Linked DNA regions of Rattus norvegicus. Each later gene encodes a partner of the first gene's protein in a complex. Links are inferred from orthologs where the notes say so. Each region holds a gene or a part of one and is shown in the gene's direction. Other genes may lie near its edges.

Region 1 (3,500 bases):
CTGAGGACTCCAGCATTCTCTGACCATCATAGATGAGACCAGCGCCCACTGTCCAGCAAGACGGGAGCCCAAACGGGTGGTGGGCCCTGAAATAAATGTTGGCAGAACCCAGCCTTGAGGCTTGCTTGTCTGGAGAGCTGGTGGGTGAGGTCGCAGCCTGATGACGAGGTCTCTGGCAGGTGTATGACGACAGTAAGCACGTATACCTGGTGACAGAGCTGATGAGGGGCGGGGAGCTGCTGGATAAGATCCTACGGCAGAAATTCTTCTCAGAGCGGGAGGCCAGCTTCGTCCTGTACACCATCAGCAAGACTGTGGAATACTTGCACTCCCAAGGGGTAAGTCTCCGTGAGAGGAGTTGGGGGTGTCCAAGGTCGTGACCTGGGTAGAATGCAAGAACTGGCTGGCTCATGAGGGACCGTCTCCAAATTGCCAGTCAGAGGGGACTCCGGTTGGGTAGGTGGCTGGCTGTAAGAGGAATGGGGAGATGAGGGCTGGCTCAAGACCATTTGTCCAGAACCTACTGTGTGCCACACCTAGTGTGTGCCGCACACCAGGACAAGTGTAAGAGAAAGTTTCCTTGGTTCTTTCAGTGGGATTTTCACCAAATCCTGAATTAGATGTTTGATTGGTTGAATGACCTGTCAGGTTACTGGCACTTGACAGATCAAAAGTCTGAAGGTTGGGGTTGGGGATTTGGCTCAGTGGTAGAGCGCTTACCTAGGAAGCGCAAGGTCCTGGGTTCGGTCCCCAGCCCTTGGGGGGGGGGGGGGAGTCTGAGGGTTGGAGCTGTACAGTCTTTTTCCCAGGATCAGACAACCGGGGAAAATGGTGACCAGAAGTTGCAAGGAGGGGTAGATTTTTGTTTGGAAGATGCAGGGTATTCGAGAGGATGACCCAGGTACTAAGAGAGAGAGAGAGAGAATGGGTGGGGCCAAAGAGCAGGGTATGGCTTTCTTTGTTGATGTTGCTTTGGTGGGTAAGCTGAGTGGGCGGTTCAAGTTCCTCATAGTGGTTCTCTCTTGGCTTGGGTGATGTTTTGGGGAGCGTCTGATCAGACAGTGAAGGGTTAACAGTGATGGCAGTCTGGTGTCCTGAGCCTTTGATCTCAGCACTCAGGAGTCAGAGGTCAGCCTGATCCAACTAGTGACACCTTATTTCCAAAGAGGAAAAAAGTATAGGAAGTTAGACATGGCTTCCCACCTGTAATCACTTGAGAGGCCAAGGGAGGAGGAGCATCACATGTTAGAGTTAGGCCTTGGGTATGTGCCACCACCACGTCACACATCTACAAGTATGTAGTATGTATGTATGTATGTATGTATGTATGTATGTATGTAGTATATGGATGTATGATGGATGTGTGTATGTAGTGTGTGCGTATAGCATGTATGTAGTGTGTATGTGTGTGTAGTGTATGTAGTATGTATGTGTGTAGTGTGTGTGTGTGTGTGTGTGTGTGTGTGTGTGAGCTTGCATTTGATTAGGCGAGTATGCGGGCTGGTATGCATACGTGTGCTTGAGTGTAGAGATCTGAGGTTGACGTTGGATGTTGTCCTTAGTCACGCTACATTGTGTATATACTGAGGCAGGGTCTCGAGTTGTTCCAGGACTGTGCTGACTAGCCAAGCAATTTATCTTCAGATCCATCCCTGTCTCCGCTTCCTGAGTGTTAGGATTACAGGGATCCTGCTGTGTCTGCCCAGTGTTTACATGGCGCCCTCTTTTGCTTTCTATTGCCGTGACAAGGAGAAAAAGGTTTATTTGGATTATACTTCCCACGCCACAGTCCAGTTGAGGGAAATCGAGGCAGGAACTGAAGCAGAGACCACGGAGAAGCATTGCTGACTGATTTGCTCACTGTGGCTTGTTTAGCTTGTGTGTGCGTGCGCACACGTGCGTGCATGAGTGTGTGGGGGGGGTGTTTTCCCTGCAAACATGTCTGTGTACCACATTTAGTTCCCTAGTGCCTGCATTGGCTAGAAGAGGGCATCGGGTCTTATAGAAATAGAATTACAGACTGTCGTGAGTATAACCCAGAACTATGTGCCCAGTAGGCTACACGGAGAAATCCTGTCTCCAAAAAACAAAACAAAAAAATGCTATGTGCGTGTGAGCGAAGGTGCACACTGCCGGCCAGAAGAGGGCAGGTGTGAGCCACCAGTCATGGGGCTCGGCATCAACATTAGTCTTCTGGAAGGGCAGCTAGTGTTCTTAACCATCTCCTCAGGCCTGCCTCAAAACAAACAAATATAAGAAGGGTACCATGCAGCCTGCCTCTGACTAGCCACATTGAACAGGAATTGATGCTTGACCTGGAAATACCTGTAGATGAAGAATTTTTGTTTTTGAGGTAGGGCCTTCTATATCCTAGACCTTTAATTCTTGTACTCAAAAGGCAGAGACAGACAAATCTTTATGAGATCAAGGACAGGCTGATCTACATAGAGAGACTTTGTCTTCAAATGCATGTGACCTCATCCACCTGGGCCCTGTTTCTTTCGTTCTTTTCTTTTTTTTTTTTTTAAGATTTATTTATTATATTTATATAAGTACACTGTAGCTGTCTTCAGACACACCAGAAGAGGGCATCAGATCTCATTACAGATGGTTGTGAGCCACCATGTGGTTCCTGGGACTTGAACTCAGGACCTCTGGAAGAGCAGCCAGTGCTCTTAACCACTGAGTCATCTCTCCAAACCCAAGATAAACAGGAAAAAAAGGTAAAATAGGAATGGAACATACTTAAGGTGAGAGCAAGGTTTGGCCTCTGCATTTGACCTTCCCCTTTCTCACCTGTAAAGCTATAGGTTCCAGTATTTTCACCCATGAGATTATGAAGCAAGATTCCTCTCAGAGGCCTTGAGACTAGAGAGGCCTCGTTAGGTGAGAGCAGCGACAGCTTTGGCAGCCTTTGCAGCTTTTGTTTTTATTAGTTTTGAGATAAAGTCTTAGAATGTAACCTAGGCTAGCCTAAAATTTGCTATGTAGCCCAGGCTAGTTATGAAGTCACCCTGCAGCCTTGCCAGGCCGACCTGAAACTCACAGAGATCCACCTGCCTCAGCCTTCCCAGTGTTGGGATTACAGACATTATAGCTCTGTACCCAGCTAGAAAACTTAGCTATTACAGGCCACTGAACTTCCAGGAATTCTAGTCTTCTTGGATTTAACTGTGTCTATAGTGGAAGAATTCGAAAGGGGGTTTATCATGACCATGTCTAACCATCGGCATCCAGTTATGTGTTTTAGTGACGGGGTGGGAGTAGGGAATCATGATGTCCTCTGCTCATACCTAGGGCCAAAGCCTCTAGTCCCTGAGCTGGTTCTGTAGAACAGTCAGGCTCTTGTTCATACTTACGATTGGGTTCTTTCGCAGGACCGTTTGGTGACATGGTCTGTATTGGGCATTCTGCTCCAAAGCATTAAAGTAGGACTGGGGCTTGGGGAGGCGGCCAGAATCACTTTTCTACTCAGTGGGACATTGTACTTGATCCTGCAT
Region 2 (4,149 bases), about 140 Mb from region 1:
AAACATGCAAAACAGCAAAGAAAACCCATTTATTTGCAGGGGTTGACACAACAGACAAACAGCCTTTAAGCAAGCAATTTTCATTCTCTGACAAAAAAATAGGGCACCTTAAAAAACTTATTTGTACAAACCCGTACTTGTTTGCGTGGATACCAGAAACACGTGTTTGCCTTGGTAAAACGAAGGGGAAACGTAATTTACCGTAACCCCAGTGGATTTGTTTCTCCAGGAAACGGAGAAAACAAAGCAGATCTTTTAAAATTAGCTCCTAGTCCCAAATTGCATCGTTCTGTAGCGTTATCTCAGCGTGCTCAAGCGCAGCACCAACCGGACAACCTTTGGACTAGAGTTCAAACGTGGAGAGAGTGAGGGCAAGCTTGGTCCCTTGAGCTTTTCCTGTGAGGGGTAACTCCACAAGCTTCACAAAGCATCCCGAAACGGGGCGACACTTCTAGAAGGAGACTGAGGTTGCAGCTGCTGCAAGGAATGGCGCCAGACCAGGGAAAGGAGGGTCTGTGCTGGAAGAAGGACTCTACATGCACTTCTCCGGAACTCCCTAGTTTCCCTCCGGGAAGTGGCCTGGCCCTTGGCCCTGCTGTAGCCTCCAGAGCCCACCCTGCAGCCCGGTGAACCTCACAGAATGCCGCCCGGTGAGCCGGGACCCGCAGGCGCAGCGACCCGGGCCGAGGGGGAGTAGAACCCCATAGAGGGACACGCGTGCAATCACTCCACGAATTCCCCAGAGCCGTCGGAGGAGGAGATGAGCGAGCATCCAGAAGCACTGCGTGCCCACGCGCTGTCCCCACGCTAAGCCCCAACGCCCCTCGGTCGGAACAAACTCGGGGTGCATAAGTCTGTGCTACACAAGTTCTTTGGCTGGAGCTGGGCGCTGCCCAGGCTCGCGTTTGTGGTGCGCTCTTCAGCCTTACCACGGTCACCCGGAGCGCCGCAAGGGCGCTGTGTTAGGCAGCTTGCCCCATTCTCCACTATGTGTATCTCAATTTCCCCATCTCGCTCCATTCGTGCCTGTACCGGTTGCCTTGCGTGGGCGGTTGAGCCTCGGCGGCCTCCTATTGGGCCACCAACTCGAACCCGGGTCCAGCTCTAAGGCAAGCTTCTCTGCTGGAGTGGGGTCAGTAAGGCGCCATTAGAAGCCTGACCACTGAGCTTCTGAGACGTCCCCGGGGACGTCTCAGTCTGGTACCTAGGCCTTGCGGGATCCTTTTAGGGATGGCTTAGCAGCTCTGCTTACCTGATCCACTACCCTTATCCAGTCTTTTGTGCGGCGACACGCCCCCGCCCCTGCGGGAACCCAGCGGTGGGCGGTGGGAGGGCGGGCGCTGGAACGCAAGCTCCCTGGCCCTGCCGCCCGCGCCGAGTCCCGCGGCCGCGACTAAGCTCTCTGCCGCGCTACAATCTCTTGGAAACAAAGGTATTCTTCCTGGCCCTTCCACGGCTTCTGCATTCTCTGGCAAGAGTCTGTCTGTGTATCTGGGAGCTGAGCATCCTGACTCTGTCGTCTCGGAATTCCACCTAGAGCTTCGAAAATGTGAACGTGTCCCCGCTCTGGCTGGGAAGCAAGATCGCGGGGGACCCCCGAAATAGCCCTTATCATCTTATGTAATTAAGGACCCACGAGCTTCCCAAAGCACCTCTACAGTCTCCACAGTGTTCAGCTTCTCTCCTCCTCCCCCTTCTCTCTCCTGTCTCTTTCTCTCTAACCCCACCTCCCTGTGAGCGCTTGTGCGCGCGCCCGTGTTCGTGCGTTCTTTTTCATTTCTACCTTTAGGAAACCTACTCAGAGCCGCTGTGAACTCAGAAGAGGCTCAGCTCTTGTTTTCCCACGGATTCCTGCCTCTCTGGAAACGCTGCCAACGTATACACATGAGGGTATCAAGCTGGAGAGATCATTAATCCCCGAGTAGTGAAACACGGCGGAGAAACGGCAAAGCTGGAAGTCTGGAAGCGGCCTTAGCAGGAGTGTAGGGTCTGGAGTGGGCTAAGGGGGTCCTGTCCCCCTCGCTTCAGCACCGGAGGGGATGGACAGCGTCTCCCAGCTGCGTAGCTGCCTGGGGGGACCCAACTGTGTTGCTGCTGCTGCCTTTGCTGCTGTCCTCGCGGCCACAGTCTTCAACAAGAGCTCTTAGCAGCTAAAAGGCGGTGCCTCCAGTCCCCTTCTTTGATGGATGAAAACCAGCCCTTCTCATCCTCTGCCACTTATATCTACTCGGCTCCACGGAGTTAAACTCTAGGCAGCAACTTTACGCAGAATTTTCTAAACGGAACTGGGGGGAATGCAGGCAGAAGAGTGGAGTTGAAGTTCTTAGAGGCACCAAGGAGCCATGGGCGCTGCAGTAGGAATTGAAATACTCAAAGGCCCACAGTTTTTAAAATAAGCACGTCCCTGAGTGGATTGCAGCTGCTGTGGAGATAGCTTTGTGAGAGGTCGGAGATTCTAAACCCCGACGTTAAAGAAGTGGAGTAAAAGGCGTCGACACCTCTGCTCAGCAGGTACGTGATAATACTTTCTCCTCTGCGTTTAACACACACTAAGGACTTTGCAAGGTTTAAAAGAAAAGATGCAAACATCACATGTTGAGGATTAAGGAAAATGAGTTCTTCTGTTTGTTTAAAAATAATAATTCCTAAATTAATATCTTAGAAAAAAATTTCTTATGTCTGGAATTTTACTTTTCTGGAATCTCTTGACGAAGGTGACAACAATATGTAGCTGACTTCCATTAGCATAGCAAACTTTTACTTGGACATTTTCTGCCTTCTTAACTAACAGCTTTGGGGATCCCTATGTGTTTTATTGTTTTCTTTAAAACTAATGTCCACTGGTGCTTAGTGATCATGCGTATTCAGTGAAAAGCGATTCTGGTTGTGTTGCATTGCCTCTGAAATACATATTTGAAATATATATCAAAAAGTTGGAAATGGCTCAATCACCTCTTCTAGTATTTTAGATTATTATAATTTGCTAAAATATTTACAGGCACAGAATATGTATACACCAATATCTGATCTCTTTTGTAGTCAGAGCCCCCAAGTGTAGCTAGACCTTAGACTTATCAACAGATATTTCAAGGCAGGAAGTGAGCAGCTTTCTTGTGCATCTGTAGGAGAGTGGGGGTTCCCTCAACATCCTGACTGATTAGTTCTACAAAACGTACTTGTTTCTGAAATCAAGTGACAGAGACTAGTTATTAACAGACCATAAATCTTAACATGATAATTAATTTTTTGATACTTCTTTCTAGACTCTTCCTCTAAAGCTTTAAGATTACAGCTTCTACAGTGACCTTGATAAGCATTGGGCTTTAATGAAAAGGGTTTTCTGAGTAAAAAGCTGTTATACAAATGTATAGTCCATGGCTGGCATTTCAGAAAGAACTCATTCAATTCCACTGAGCGCATTCTGCTCAACGGAGAGCTTTGACTCACAGGAATGATTCTCATAGTCATGACGGCATATGCTTAGCCGAGTCTGTGGAAAGAGTTTGTCTTGAAAAACTGCAGGAGTTTGGAAGGATTTTTTTAAAATAATTTATAAACCATGTATAGCCCCCCCCCAAAATACCTTTACATCTCATCCACAGTAGCTCTCACTTTCTTGATTTGAACACCTAATCTCCTCAGCCAGGCTGGTACTTGTTGGTAGACTAATGGTTGCCTGTTTTATAGTGACCGGGAGAGAGTAACAGTTCTACTCAGAGGACTTGTCATTTTTAACTGTCACTCACCACGTAGCTGCCTGCATCGCCGATAGAGAGCGGTAGCTCCTTGGAGGCATGCTTGCCCTAGATAGGTCAGAAATGATCTTCGGAGGACTAGAAGGCTGCAGCAGTTGATGTGGATTCTTCCTGTGGACCCCCTTTCATCTTCTACTTTAAGAAATGTGGAAGCAACCTACCACGTGGGAGATGGCATCACATTTTGCAGAGTTATACAGCTCATGACAAGACTATTATTTTGGTCCTTAATTAATTAGTGTAGACGGACTCCCCAAGTCAGTGGAGCATAAAATGAAATGTGGGAATGTGTTCTGGAATGAAGCCGGTGTGTCTTGTTGACCGCAGTTCCCTTCTCAGTGGTGGAGGGGGCAGGCTTTCTCTATGTAGAACAGCAACTGAATAACCTAAAAGT
Region 3 (4,000 bases), on another chromosome or scaffold:
CGTGTGTATGTTCATGCACTCGGGTTTGAAGATCTCTACTTAAAGTCAGTGTAACTGACTGAAGACAGCTAGGGAGGGGTCAGAGAAGCCTCGATCATCCGGTACCCCAAGCGACATCACAAAGTAAGGGTCTCTTCCCAGCCATGATTATCATAACCGTCTCCCCCAGTCAGCTCCCTTTTATTGTCTATTGATGACTAAGAAGATTAGGGGACCTAATCTTTGGGGACCAGTGGCTTTGATCTCCTATAGATAAATGGTGAGTCGAACCAGAGCAGGGGTTTATACCTCCACCCCAAAGCTAACCTTTCCTCAAGAAAAGGTTACATTCCAGGGCAGGAAAACTTCATTCTACCTCTAGCATGTCGAGTCAACTTCTTGGTCTCTGTGATATTTGGGTGACTTTTGTCATGTAGCTCTTCCCACAGACACTCCGGACTCGAGGTGCAAAGGGACGTGTGTGACTAAGCTATCCTCCACTGGGGAGTCTTCTGGGTTAGTTTTGTGCCTTTGTGACAAGAGGCACAGCGTTTCTTCCCTATGTGAAAAGAGCACAGGACGGGCCATCTCTAAAGCATTTCTGGTGCAGACAGCTCAACCTTTGACCAGGGTGAGAAGGGAGAGAGGCCTAAGACACAGCTGGCGTGTCTTTCCCTCTGTGCAAAAGTACTAAGTTAGAAAGAAACTTACCGCACCCTGGTCCCTGAGAAGACTGGGTTCAAAGAGGAGTCTGGGGGTAACCACTGCCCAGCATCACCAGCCACAGCATGGCATACCTGTAGGAGGGGACCAGAAAGCTGGCAGGCAGGCAAGATGCTCAAGAGGCCTCCTTGGAAGCCAGCCATAGCCACACAGCCTCCAGCACTCAGCACCAGAAGTTTCCAGTTCTTGGCTGCGTATCTGCTGTTTGAATCAATTCACCCACGCTGTCTCTCCCCTCTTCCCACCAGCCCCCCAATCTTGCCTCTGGAACAGCATCAATATTCATATCCTAAATTTAAACGGCACAGAGAAGCTGACTCCACATTTCCTGCCCAACAGACCCATATTCTTTCTAGATCAGATCCAATTGTGGCTGCCCAGTGGGTCCCCAGGGTACCACTCAATGGGGCCCTGTATGCAGGCCCGGTGGTTGTCCAGCTCCTCCCTAACCTTGGCCCCTATTGGCAGTCGCAGTCTCAGCCTGCAGCGGACTGCGCCAAGTCCACACCCAGTCCTCTCTGGAGGAAGAAAAAGGAGCTTCTCTGTCTACCCTCCTAGTCCTCGGACACCGAAGCCAGAGAGGACTCCGGCGGCAAAAGGTGACCAGGAGGTGAGAAAGAGTCACTGGCAGGACCCAAGAAAAACCGCTTCTTTCTCTCTTTGCAGGGTGAGGGGGTGAAGGGGATAGGATGGGAATTGAGCTTTGAAACTTTTTAGAAAACCTTTGGGGACGTTTGGCTGCATTCCAAGGCTTCCGATGAGGCCGCCTTTCTTGTTTCCTTGTGACAGTTGTTGACATCTGTGCTGCCATGGAATTGTGTCTGTCCCTGTTTTCGTGAAGCCAGAGATCCCTTGGGTCATTTTTTCAAGATTCAGAATGACTACTGATGTTTTCAGAGATGGCATCTAGGGCTTCTTCTCTACGTCCTAAGGGAAGGATTTTCTTTCTTGGAATAGAGTCACCCCAAATCCCCAACCACAGCGCTCCCTTTCTCCTGGTAGCTTTTCCCGGGGGTCCCTGGAGCACCCAGGTGAGCTTTTCCAGTTTCCCTCTTTGAAATGCCAAGAACTACATCTCCAGACACCGCTCAAAAAAAAAAATTGCAAAGTAGTTGAATCTTTTCAGATCATTATGAATTGGGGCAGAGAAATGAGGGTTTGGGAGTGGCCCTGACTTCTCTGTTACCCCTCCTGGGGAGGGGCAGTCTTTGTGGGGAACCCCTCCCCGGACAGGCAGTACCATTCCAAGAAGCTCAAGCCCTGTGTTTTCTTTATAAAGTCTCCTCCATTTGTCTTAGGAGACAGACAACTAACTTCTTTAGTTGAAAGAATAGGGGAAAATTTGGAATGTCTAATGTAGTCGTGAGAAAACTCAAATTTTACGGACTTTCCTAGCACATGGGATGTGGTGTGACACCGTTTGTTCTTAAGCCTTAGTCCTTATCCACAAAAAGATCATTTAGCCTTTCCCTCCCCCAGCCGTTAGGACTTTGAGCAATATCAGTATGATGCAGAGTTTCTGGAGACTTTTTTTTTTTAAATCAATAACTGTGCTGGGTACGAGCCAACCCTCGGGAGAGTAGAGGCAAGAAGATCATGATTTAGGAGAAAACTTGGGGACAGTGAGACCTCGTGTCAATCTGAAAAGGAAAAACAGGCAGGTAATTCTGCGCCTGGCTTCTCCTCCCCTCCCCTCCTCTCCCCTCCCCTCCCCTCCCCTCCTCTCCCCTCCCCTCCCTTCCCCTCTTTTCCCCTCCCTTCCCCACCACTCTTTTCATGCCACTAAATGTTTCATAAAAAAACCAAACAAAGAAAAACAGTAACCAGGGGCGTTGGGGATTTAGCTCAGTGGTAGAGCGCTTGCCTAGCACTTTGCCAGCTCCGAAAAAAAGAAAAAAAAGAAAAGAGGAAAAAAAAAAAAAAAAGGTAACCAGGGCTGGAGAGATGGCTCAGCCCAGCATCCACACTGGCAGCTCACAACTGCCTGTCACTCCAGTTCCAGGGGATCTGACACTCTCCCAGCCTCTCTGTGGGCACCATGCATGCTCACACATACCAGCCTGCAAAACACCCAGACACACACGCGTTTCTTTTCTTCTTCTTCTTCTTCTTCTTCTTCTTCTTCTTCTTCTTCTTCTTCTTCTTCTTCTTCTTCTTCTTCTTCTTTTCTTCTTCTTCTTCTTTTTCTTTTTTCTTTTTTCTTTTTTTCGGAGCTGGGGACCGAACCCAGGGCCTTGCTCTTGCTAGGCAAGCACTCTACCACTGAGCTAAATCCCCAACCCCACGAGTTTCTTTTTAGCTAAAAGACCAACAAGAACGGAAAACACAAGTTAAGAAACCAAGAGAGAGCATCACCTCTTATCCCTTCAGGTTCTATTTATGGGAGGTACTTCAGGTATCTGGAAAAGACGAGCAAACTGAGGAACCAGAGGGTCAACAAAGGCCAAAAACCTTCCTTTCTCTTGCTGAGATCGTTCATAAAAAATGTAAGAAGTTACTAAAATCTAATATGTTCATCATGGAAATGACTTTTGAGTGTCTTTTGTTTGTTTACTTATGACGGTGCAGATTCTGGCTTAAGGATCAGAACTCAAGGCCAGGAGCTGTCTCTGCCTAAGTAGCTGGTCTCTGAAATGAGCCCAAGGCCGCCTCTCTCTCAGAGAGTTGAGCAGCCATCCCCGATTCCCCAGGCTGTGGCTGCTGCATCAGGTGCTCTCTTGAAGGCTGTTTGCTTCTCGCAGGCACGCATGCCTGTTCACAAAGAAGCTGCTGTACTCTGAGGCCAGGCTAATGAGTAAGCACAGAACGCTGGGCTGTGCCTTGGTCTCCCTTTGTCAGCATGCCAGGAGAATCATATGACCTTGGAGTCCGTGTTGCTGCAAGGTCGCTTCACTGTTACTTTTCAAAACAGTTGGTACAGGGATACCTTTAATCCGGATGAATTTTACAGTCTACTTTTTTTTTTTTTTTTTTTTTTGGAGCTGGGGACCGAACCCAGGGCCTTGTGCTTGCTAGGCAAGCGCCCTACCACTGAGCTAAATCCCCAACCCCTCAGTCTATTTTTTTTGTTTGCCCCCACCTCATCCAAAAAAAACCTCATGTTTTTATTTAAAATCTTAAACGGATATATTAATTCATATGAAAATGAGCTTTGTTAGGTCTTTTTTTAAAGGTATTTATTTATTTTATGTATGTGAGTACACTGTCACTGTCTTCAGACACACCAGAAGAGGGCATCTGATCCCATTACAGATGGTTGTGAGCCACCAAGTGGTTGCTGGGAATTGAACTTAGGACC
Region 4 (4,213 bases), on another chromosome or scaffold:
GTTGTATAGCTTCCCACAGCAGCCCCAGTGTGTGTCAAGTATCCTGAATCAAGGACCATGGAGTGAACACAGAAAGGGTTTCAGTGAGCACCAAGAAAGACACAGTATTTACCAAATTAATAATTAGCTTAGCTTTCAGCAGAAGATGCCCATGTTTTTGTTTTCTTTGTTTGTTTTGTTTTGTTTGTTTTTACCTGCAAAATTTGAACTTGTATCCAGTCTACCAACTCTAACAGGATGAATAGGTACATGCTTACCTCTCCTTCAGACTACAGGATGAATCTTCCCTTTGTAATTTAGGTAGAGGTCTATCTTCAGACCTCTGATTTCTCAGAGATTGAACTCATGTACTTTTCAGAATGCAACTTCATGAACCAAAGCTGTGGAATTGTAGGCAGAGGGTGAATAAGACTTGGGAACCTGGAAAGCCTTGCTCCTGTACCGCTGGGTCACAAACCCAGGGCCACTCAGGTTTCAGCTGCGAATGGTTTGCTCCACATTTGTCTGTCCATCGTGAGCCATGACCATGAAAACCCCACCTTAGACTGCCAGTTTTTCCTGACAGTGCAGCAGTAAAGTCAAGATAAGCATCTCAGGATGCTGTCCACTGGTGCATCCATGCCTGTAAGTGATAGTAGCTAGGGGTCCCAATATCACTTTTAAGATATTTCTTTTGACACAAATCTGATCTAATAAAAGACACTTTCAACTTAGACTGGTGACTACGTTGGAGCCTCTTTGGAAAGTGTGGGAGACAGAGTAAAATTGGGGGCACAGAACCTAGACTGCCCTCAGAGTGGAGCTTGTAGCTTAAGTAGATGCCACGAGAGGAAAAGACAGGCATACAGGAATGGAGACCACTAATGCTTTCTTTTTTTCCCCAGAAAGTAGATCCTTAGGGTAGCCAGGCTAGGTTATGGTGTGGAAATCCGGAAAAAGGACCCAAGGCTGCTGTCAGGATAAAGCACCACCACACTCAGAATCTAACAAGCTTTGCCAGCAGAAGTGACCAGGAAGCATCTGTAAGTACTAGTGATGATACCACCAGAATCCACTGGGAATAGCTTATTGGTCCCCAATGGCCCAGGTGCCCGGTTAGCCTTCCAACCCTAAGGGAGGCGCGCATCTGAGCCTGTTTCAGCTCTGTACTTTGCTGGCCAAGCTGGGGGAAGTGATGGTCCCCGCACGGAGGTGGGAGCTGGCTTTACAGTTCTCACAAACCAGTACAACCATCATCACTGACTGGAGGTGGAAGGGCAGAGCTGGTGGGCGGGGTTACCGGGCATAAGGCGGGGCTTGATGGTAACGGGCGGGACTTGGTGGGCGGTGAACAGAGTAGTAGGGGCCGGGCTGCTGGGAGGTGGGCGGGGTTCCGAGCCTGCCCTGCTTGCTAGCGCAGTGGCTGCTGGCTCTGTCCGCCCCAGCCTGTCCACAGAGGGGCGCGGGCGCCGTGCAGGCGCTGGACTTAGGAGCTCCGGAGCCCGAAGCGCACGCCTAGCCGCGTGGGCGGCGATGAGCGCCGAGGGATCGCAGTCCCTGGCCGCCCCCCGCGGGCGTCCTAGTCACCTACTGGTGCCCGCGCGGGTGAGTGGGGTCCCCTGGAGGCCCTCTGAGTCCCTTCAGTCTCCCTGCCTCCCCTCCTTTCCCAGCGCCTCCTCCTTTCTGTGAGTCCTTGTGTCCCCCTTTCCGGGTGGCTCTTGTGGGCGGGGGTTGGCTCTGGGCCCTGGACATAGTGGATACCAGGAGCCCCTGGGTACCGCAATCTTGTCTTCCTTGCATCACAGTTACCAGCGTGCAGGTTTTTATTTTCTTATCTTTAACATCTGGGTCATGGGGCACAGGTGCTTTCTTTTACTGCGTGGTAGCTAAGGTCTTCCAGACCATGGGGTTTGGGCTCTGCCCAGCATTTCTTCCAAGGAGTGGTCTCTCTGGTCCCAGGCAGGGGCTTTTGCAGCAACTCAGGCACTCTGCAGGGGTTCTCGTTGTCCCCTTGATGAGGTGTGATGCCAACTGTCTCTGCTTATCGCTTGAGCCACCAGCTCAGTATCTCCAGAAACCAAGACGATGCTGATGGGCCAACTTTGCAACATGTTTTTAAAAGTCTATTCTAGGTCCTACCCACCCACCCCCCTATTTTTAAAAAACGAAACTATTGATTGACAAAACCCTGAAATGTTGGTTTAAACAAAAACGGAAAGTTCTTGGAAACCTTCAAGTTGCCACCCACACAGCACAACCAAGTGTTCTGGAAAGGGTGCAAGACGGCAGCTGTTTATCGTGGCCTTAGGAAGCTGTAGTGTGTCCTGGGGTGCAGTCACACCTCCTCTTTAACTATGCTCAAACGCCCAACCTTCAGCACTACTGGAGAATAAGGTCCTTTTAGGGTAACAAAGGTCTCTAAGACTGTAGGCTGGAGTGGCTGCTAACTGTCCAGTCACAATGCTTCAGAAATAGCTAGTGCACAGTGCTATGTTTACTGGGTTGAGACCAGTGTATCTGCTTTGCGAGTTGAACCATCCTAGGGAATCCTGCGACATCTTCAACATTTTGGGTGGAACATGGTAGGATTTTTGTTTTTTGTTTGTTTGTTTTATTTTACTTTTTTGTTTAAAATCTTTGTAATGTGAGTAGTTAGTTACCCAAGTACAGCAGATGGGACTCATACCTTAGAAAATACACTTAAGATTACCTGGAAATAGAAGGAAGCAAGTTGTCATTGGCTTTCTGACGTACTATTCTCGAGACTTCAATAGAATGTCCTCCCACAGTGCATTTTGGGAAATAGTCTTGCAACAAGTCCTGTTAGTAATTGTTATCATTAGAGGAAGAGTGGAAGTGATTTAGTGAAACAGAAGTGGCAGACTTCTGTTTTAAGTGCATGCATTTCATGGAAGCCTTCAAAAATCTTGCTGAACTCCATGTCAATCACTAGGTTGCTAGACAGCCCAAGACCTGTTCAGCATCCTATGTGTAACAGGAGCCCTAATGACGTGAAATGGCCCATCAGAACTGTACTCGAAGGGAACTTTTGCCACCGTTAAGGCCACACACTTAAGTCATCACGCAGAACATACCTGTGGTTTGCAGTAATGCAGTGCAAAACCCCAATATGTGAGGTTTGAGGTTGTATTCAAAGTAAATCTGCTAAGATTGATATTTATATCCTGGGAGAGTTCAGTCTCCCAGGATTGTGTTAACTGTACTTCATGCTGCAGTACTCGAACCTCTGATGGATGGCACCTAGCAAATCCCTGGAGCATAGACATCTTTGAAGAATTCCACAGTTCCTTAACAATTACTGTACTGAATTGAACTTCAATGCCTAGCTATGCAATCTTTTCAGTTGACAGAATTTTGAGCATCTACTTAGAAAATTAATTATAAACGTAGATGGCACTGGATCTATTGTAGTCCTACTTTTAATTTTTCTGTCTGAAGTCAAAAGTATAATGTATTCTTCAGAATGGCTGCTCGTTTGAATCATAGCAATTGGGGCAGATTTGGTGTCTCACACACATTTTCTGAGTTAGGTCATTTCCTAAAGTTCTGTTCTGAGATCAACCATTCCGTGGACCAAGAGCCTGCAGTTCTCAGCAGGACTTGTGTTTCTTGAGTATTTTTCTGTTTTCAGGGGGTCACCCTTCAACACACAACAGTATGACCTGGGAAGCTGCAGACTCACGGGGTGATCCACCCTGCCCTGCCATGGGAAGGTGCAGAGATCTCTGAAGGCACATTTAGTAATGGCATCACTTAGCCATTCTGCAGGGAGGGAGGTTAGGACTGCTACTACTGCAGAAATAACTTAAGCAGGCATCGAAGGATCCCAACTCTCCCCTTTGTTTCCTGCTCCTGTTACATGCCCTTCTTTCTTTCGGACACTTTTGATCTCACCAATAGAATTTCTTTTGGTGCCTGTGACATCATAGGCCAGATCCATGGATATTAAAATAGGGAGTCATTTGTTTTTACCAGGAGATGTGTCTCATGCTGAACATATAAACAGGACCTAATTTAGAAAATGGCATTTACTTGTCAAAAATACCAGAAATTTAATTTGTCTTTTTTTTCCTGAAATATGTGTAACAACTTCTTATATCTACATATCTGTATAGTTTTCAGATATATATTCCAGGACAGCTCGCACAGCACACTTTTGAGAAGCCAGAGGTGATGGCATTGAAGCACAAGACGAGAGGGAAGCCATTACACC
Region 5 (4,076 bases), on another chromosome or scaffold:
TTTTTATTAACTTAGAATAGCTCTCCAGAAACAGGGCTTGAAGAGCTTAAATATATGCTTAAGTTCTACAGAGGGGATTATCTCTACCCTACAATCCCAACCACTAAGGACTCCGATTCCTCATCCCCCACGCCAACCCCCAGTTATCAGACTGTGAAATTTTATATGCTACCATACAATTATAAACTTTGTAAGTTTCCAGTGCTTATGTATTATTTCTAACAACTGTGGGGATTTGGTTGTATTCCACCAGCTTTGGCAAGTGGAAGGTCTGAGGTTCGTTCACTTAAGGTCTTGAGTACTTGAGATGCCTGCGGAACTTCAGACTTTTCCTCTCAACCCACCTCACCTTTCTGAGCGGCTCCAACTAAGCTCCCTTTATCTAGTAGATTCTCAAGTCTGTGACCAAAGAGGAACTCATTGGAAACCACTGAAAAGTAAACGAAACCGCTAGGGCCACTGCTGCACTAGCCTCTTGGCGGTGGGGGCTGTTCTTTCTGTCCCAGCCTCTTCAGCGCTGATTACTGCACCCAGCCTCTGGGCGGCGAATTCCGAGGTGGCCGGCGCGCCCACACGTGTGCAGGACCCGCACCCTGCGGTGATCTTTACTCCCCAAAGCAGTCCTTAGGGTTCTCGGCTCTCCCAGAAGCTAAAAGGGGCTGGCCGCTGCCGCCCCTTTGCTGGAAGGACAATGAGAAGTCTTAGGTAGAAGACTCGCTCACCGACAGTTTTCTCCTTGTCCTAAAAAGTTGGCCCCAAAGTTTAACGGTGGGCGCGGAGAGAAATGCAGAGGGTGCGTGGGTCTTGCTGGTTCGGGTCCTCAGCGTCACACAGACAAGAGCCAGGCTCCGCCATGTGGACTTGAACCCCTGGGCCGGGAGCAGGCGCGGAAATGAGGCGGAAGGCAGTGGGGCCGCGAGAGAGATGGCGTGGCCACCGAGGGCGAGGAGGGAACCTGGCTGGCAGGCAAGAGTGTGAGCCCCCCGCCGAATTGGTCTCCCAGCCCCCACCTGTTTGAAAGGATTTGTTAAGCACCAAAGCCACATTTCCTGCGTTACGAGAGCTGGAGTGGGGCACGCGCACGTGTTCCCCAAAAGGCTCTGGCTGGGCCGACGGCACAGGAAAAGTAGGAATTCTAGGGGTGCAGATACAGGAGCAAGTTGGCGTCAATGGAAGGTCGGCCCTAGGACCCCGCGGGAGGCGCGTTGGAATCTCTCCCTTCCAGGAGGAGGGGTGGGGCGGGCCTGCCCGCGGGCGGCCGCCGAGCGCATGCGCGCGCGCCTCCTATCCAGCCGGCCGCCGCGCTCCGCCGCGCGGAGTAGAATGAACTGTAACAAAACAAGCAGAGCCTTTGTATCTGCTTAAAGGGGCCGCGGCCACTTCCCTCGCGTCCCCTCACCCCCGCCCCGCGCCGCCGCGTCTCCAGGGCTCCCGGCAACTAGCTTGGAAAGGGCTTCCCTCGCGCTGAGGAGCGGCCGGCGGGCGCGGAGCAGGCGCGGCGCGTGTGGAGAAAGCTGCGGAGCAGAGAGCGGGCCCGGGCGGCGTCGGAGTGGACTCTGGTCCCGGGAGCGCGATCGGCGCCGGAACGCGGACCCGGAGGCACCGGAATGCAAACAAAGCTCGCGGGCGCCTGTGCAGGGCTCTCAACGGAGCCCGGAAAGTTTGTTTTATGATGGCTTGAGAGCGCGAGAGAGTCGGGCGAGGAGGCTCGAGTAGCTCGCTCCCGCGCTCCGAGAGAGAGATGCTTCTCCCGTGAGCCCGCCGCTCCGGGGGCTCGTGCTGTGGGGGCACCTGTCTCTCGTTTTAGCAGTTTTCCTTTTTTTTTCTTTAATTTTAATTTTTCTTTTGAGGAGGGGCTGTAACTCATCATGTCGAAAGTGATCCAGAAGAAGAACCACTGGACTGGCCGCGTTCACGAATGCACCGTGAAGCGGGGACCCCAGGGCGAGCTGGGGGTGACGGTGCTGGGGGGCGCGGAGCATGGGGAGTTTCCGTACGTGGGGGCGGTGGCGGCGGCCGAGGCGGCGGGGCTTCCCGGCGGTGGCGAGGGACCGAAGCTGGCTGAAGGTGAGCTGCTGCTGGAGGTGCAGGGGGTCCGGGTGTCCGGCTTGCCCCGCTATGACGTGCTGGGAGTCATCGACAGCTGCAAGGAGGCCGTCACCTTCAAAGCCGTCAGACAAGGTAAGACGGGCGTGTCTTTGGGGGGGCGCACCCCGAAGAAGAGGGGAGGCCTGAGGGGGCGCCGTTTGCTCCGAGTGCTGTGAGCCAAAGTTGAGGCCCGGGCCAGATGAACTCAAAGTTGTGCGGTTGTGGGCTGCGCGCCCACCTGCGTGGCGGCCAGGGGCCGGGGTTGCGCCGGGAAGCGGGGAGATGCTTCCCAGGCCTGGTTTGCCAACTTCTTGTCGTAGCCACCTAGTGCTGCGCAGCTTCGTCTGCACCTTAAGGCAGATGGGTAACTGAGGCAAGCTAAGGTGGACGCTTTCCACAGCCCCTTATGGGATAGATGAGCTCACCGAGCTGGTGGCTTGCCATTGCTTGTGTTCCCTGAACTGGAGAGTGGGTCGTGGAAAGGGAGGGTCTATTTATGGTTGACTGGAATTCTTACTTCACAAAATTGCCTTCACCCTGCAAGCCCTCCAGGTGAGGTTGGGTTATGACCCCCTAGAGTCCTTAATCTAGCCGCCTGCAGAGCCTGCATTCACCCCACAGCGGGGTGACGTCTGTGTCTCCTCCTTGTGGAGACCTACGGTGGGGGAAGGGGTGTTTAGCTCTTGGCGCGAATCTAGTCCAAGTTTACCCAGCCGCCGCCTCCCCTTGCACTGTCGTCCTTATTGATGATGATTGTTGAGAGATTACAATTCATTGTTAGCGTGCTATATGAGAGGCTCTCTGTAAAGTGGTTTAATTGCATTATCTCATTGTGATTCACAACAATGCTATAAGATCGACTTGTTTTTGTAAGTCCTATATTACAAAAAGTAAGCCGGAGCTGACCTAGGTAAATGACTTGCCCAAGGTCACACAACTACTAAAGTGTATGGGTCTTTTCTGTTAAACCTTGAGCGAGGAGGAGGAGGGCTTGAGGGGATGACTTAAGGGGCCTGAGTTTTGGGGTGTGTGTGGGAGAAGCAAGGCCTCTCTTAGAAGTCTGTAGGGTAGGGATGGCTTTCTAAAAGACGCATTTGATGACTCCCTCGCAGTTTGGTCTGAGCAATGGTCTGCTCTCTGTCTGGCTACCGGAGCATAGCTGCAGTACTTAAAGGCATCCCTCCTGCACCCGAGTGCTGTGACGCAGGTTCTCCCAGATGAAAGCACCAGAGGAGGTGGCAGAGTTGAATGTGGTGAAAAGTTGCCATATGTTCCTGTCAGGATGGCAGCAGCTGAAGGAAACGTGTCAAAGGAAAGCCTGGGAGAGCCAGCTCTCTCCAGCAGCAGGCCTCTTCCAGATGACCTGAGGATGAGTGCAGTATTGTGTGTGGTTAGCCCAGTAGCCCGGACTTTCTACCGTGTTGGGAGCGCAGAGGCTGACACCTAACAGTGGAATGTCCTTATCTTGCTGCTTGGCCTTGTCTGATGACTATGTCCTTAGGAGTTTCTCCTAGGACCGTAACCCAGGAAGTGTGCACAGCAGTGCTGGTTCACAGTAAGTGCTCAGTAAAAGTGAGTTATGGTTGTATGTTGTATTAGAGTTGAATTTAAGCAGTTAGGAATTCAGTTTTTAGCTAGGAATTTAGTGCCAGTTCCCCGGGTGATAATGACTTGGTTAGGGCTGTTGAGAAAATACTGTGACAGGCATTTATTTATTGGGGGGTAACATTGGGTTTGAGTTCAGGCTCATTTTGCAGAAAGATTTCTCATCCAGCAGGATGTCTGGGTGGTGGTTAATGGGTCCTAAGATCTGTTGGCCATGGGCAAGAAGCTGCCAGAAGCTTAGCTCTTCCTTCCACTGTTTTGCAGAGATCCTTGATGCTGGCGCCTTCCCTTCTTCCCCCAACCCTCTGTCTCTCCTGTGAGCACTCGCCCTTCATTGGTGGAACTGGGGGAAAGATGCCTGTGGATTTGACAGTTACTGTAGT

The links. The genes of interacting proteins can lie anywhere in the genome.
Region 2: the proteins of Rps6ka1 (region 1) and Sntg1 are in contact, whole or in part, in a crystal structure (PDB 7PC8), measured with the Homo sapiens proteins. The link is inferred for Rattus norvegicus from reciprocal best matches to the Homo sapiens genes RPS6KA1 and SNTG1. Residues at the interface, in NP_002944.2 of Homo sapiens: Arg728, Lys729, Leu730, Pro731, Thr733, Thr734, Leu735; in NP_001274742.1 of Homo sapiens: Gly67, Phe68, Gly69, Leu70, Ser71, Ile72, Lys73, Gly74, His78, Ile80, Ser85, His118, Glu119, Val122, Leu125, Arg126, Arg141.
Region 3: the proteins of Rps6ka1 (region 1) and S100b are in contact, whole or in part, in a crystal structure (PDB 5CSJ), measured with the Homo sapiens proteins. The link is inferred for Rattus norvegicus from reciprocal best matches to the Homo sapiens genes RPS6KA1 and S100B. Residues at the interface, in NP_002944.2 of Homo sapiens: Ala697, Met698, Ala699, Ala700, Thr701, Ser703; in NP_006263.1 of Homo sapiens: Ser42, His43, Phe44, Leu45, Glu46, Ile48, Val53, Val57, Ala84.
Region 4: the proteins of Rps6ka1 (region 1) and Sntg2 are in contact, whole or in part, in a crystal structure (PDB 7QQL), measured with the Homo sapiens proteins. The link is inferred for Rattus norvegicus from reciprocal best matches to the Homo sapiens genes RPS6KA1 and SNTG2. Residues at the interface, in NP_002944.2 of Homo sapiens: Pro731, Ser732, Thr733, Thr734, Leu735; in NP_061841.2 of Homo sapiens: Gly82, Gly83, Leu84, Gly85, Leu86, Ser87, Ile88, Lys89, Gly90, His94, Ser101, Lys102, Phe104, His134, Val138, Leu141, Arg142.
Region 5: the proteins of Rps6ka1 (region 1) and Magi1 are in contact, whole or in part, in a crystal structure (PDB 5N7F), measured with the Homo sapiens proteins. The link is inferred for Rattus norvegicus from reciprocal best matches to the Homo sapiens genes RPS6KA1 and MAGI1. Residues at the interface, in NP_002944.2 of Homo sapiens: Pro731, Ser732, Thr733, Thr734, Leu735; in NP_001028229.1 of Homo sapiens: Arg480, Gly481, Phe482, Gly483, Phe484, Thr485, Val486, Val487, Gly488, Asp490, Lys499, Ser500, His532, Val536, Phe539, Gln540.

What each region holds. Positions count from the first base shown.
Region 1 is NC_086023.1:151,371,065-151,374,564, reverse strand, and holds part of Rps6ka1 (ribosomal protein S6 kinase alpha-1), read left to right. Parts: intron 1-179; coding exon 180-338; intron 339-3,500. UniProt on the Homo sapiens protein: Serine/threonine-protein kinase that acts downstream of ERK (MAPK1/ERK2 and MAPK3/ERK1) signaling and mediates mitogenic and stress-induced activation of the transcription factors CREB1, ETV1/ER81 and NR4A1/NUR77, regulates translation through RPS6 and EIF4B phosphorylation, and mediates cellular proliferation, survival, and differentiation by modulating mTOR signaling and repressing pro-apoptotic function of BAD and DAPK1.
Region 2 is NC_086023.1:14,768,232-14,772,380, forward strand, and holds the start of Sntg1 (gamma-1-syntrophin), read left to right. Parts: upstream 1-1,349; 5' UTR 1,350-2,511; intron 2,512-4,149. UniProt on the Homo sapiens protein: Adapter protein that binds to and probably organizes the subcellular localization of a variety of proteins. May link various receptors to the actin cytoskeleton and the dystrophin glycoprotein complex.
Region 3 is NC_086038.1:12,378,282-12,382,281, reverse strand, and holds the start of S100b (protein S100-B), read left to right. Parts: upstream 1-1,200; 5' UTR 1,201-1,312; exon of another isoform or gene 1,313-2,363; intron 2,364-3,072; exon of another isoform or gene 3,073-3,188; intron 3,189-4,000. UniProt on the Homo sapiens protein: Small zinc- and- and calcium-binding protein that is highly expressed in astrocytes and constitutes one of the most abundant soluble proteins in brain.
Region 4 is NC_086024.1:52,728,173-52,732,385, reverse strand, and holds the start of Sntg2 (gamma-2-syntrophin), read left to right. Parts: upstream 1-1,413; 5' UTR 1,414-1,512; coding exon 1,513-1,584; intron 1,585-4,213. UniProt on the Homo sapiens protein: Adapter protein that binds to and probably organizes the subcellular localization of a variety of proteins. May link various receptors to the actin cytoskeleton and the dystrophin glycoprotein complex.
Region 5 is NC_086022.1:128,365,427-128,369,502, reverse strand, and holds the start of Magi1 (membrane-associated guanylate kinase, WW and PDZ domain-containing protein 1), read left to right. Parts: upstream 1-1,276; 5' UTR 1,277-1,868; coding exon 1,869-2,181; intron 2,182-4,076. UniProt on the Homo sapiens protein: Plays a role in coupling actin fibers to cell junctions in endothelial cells, via its interaction with AMOTL2 and CDH5. May regulate acid-induced ASIC3 currents by modulating its expression at the cell surface.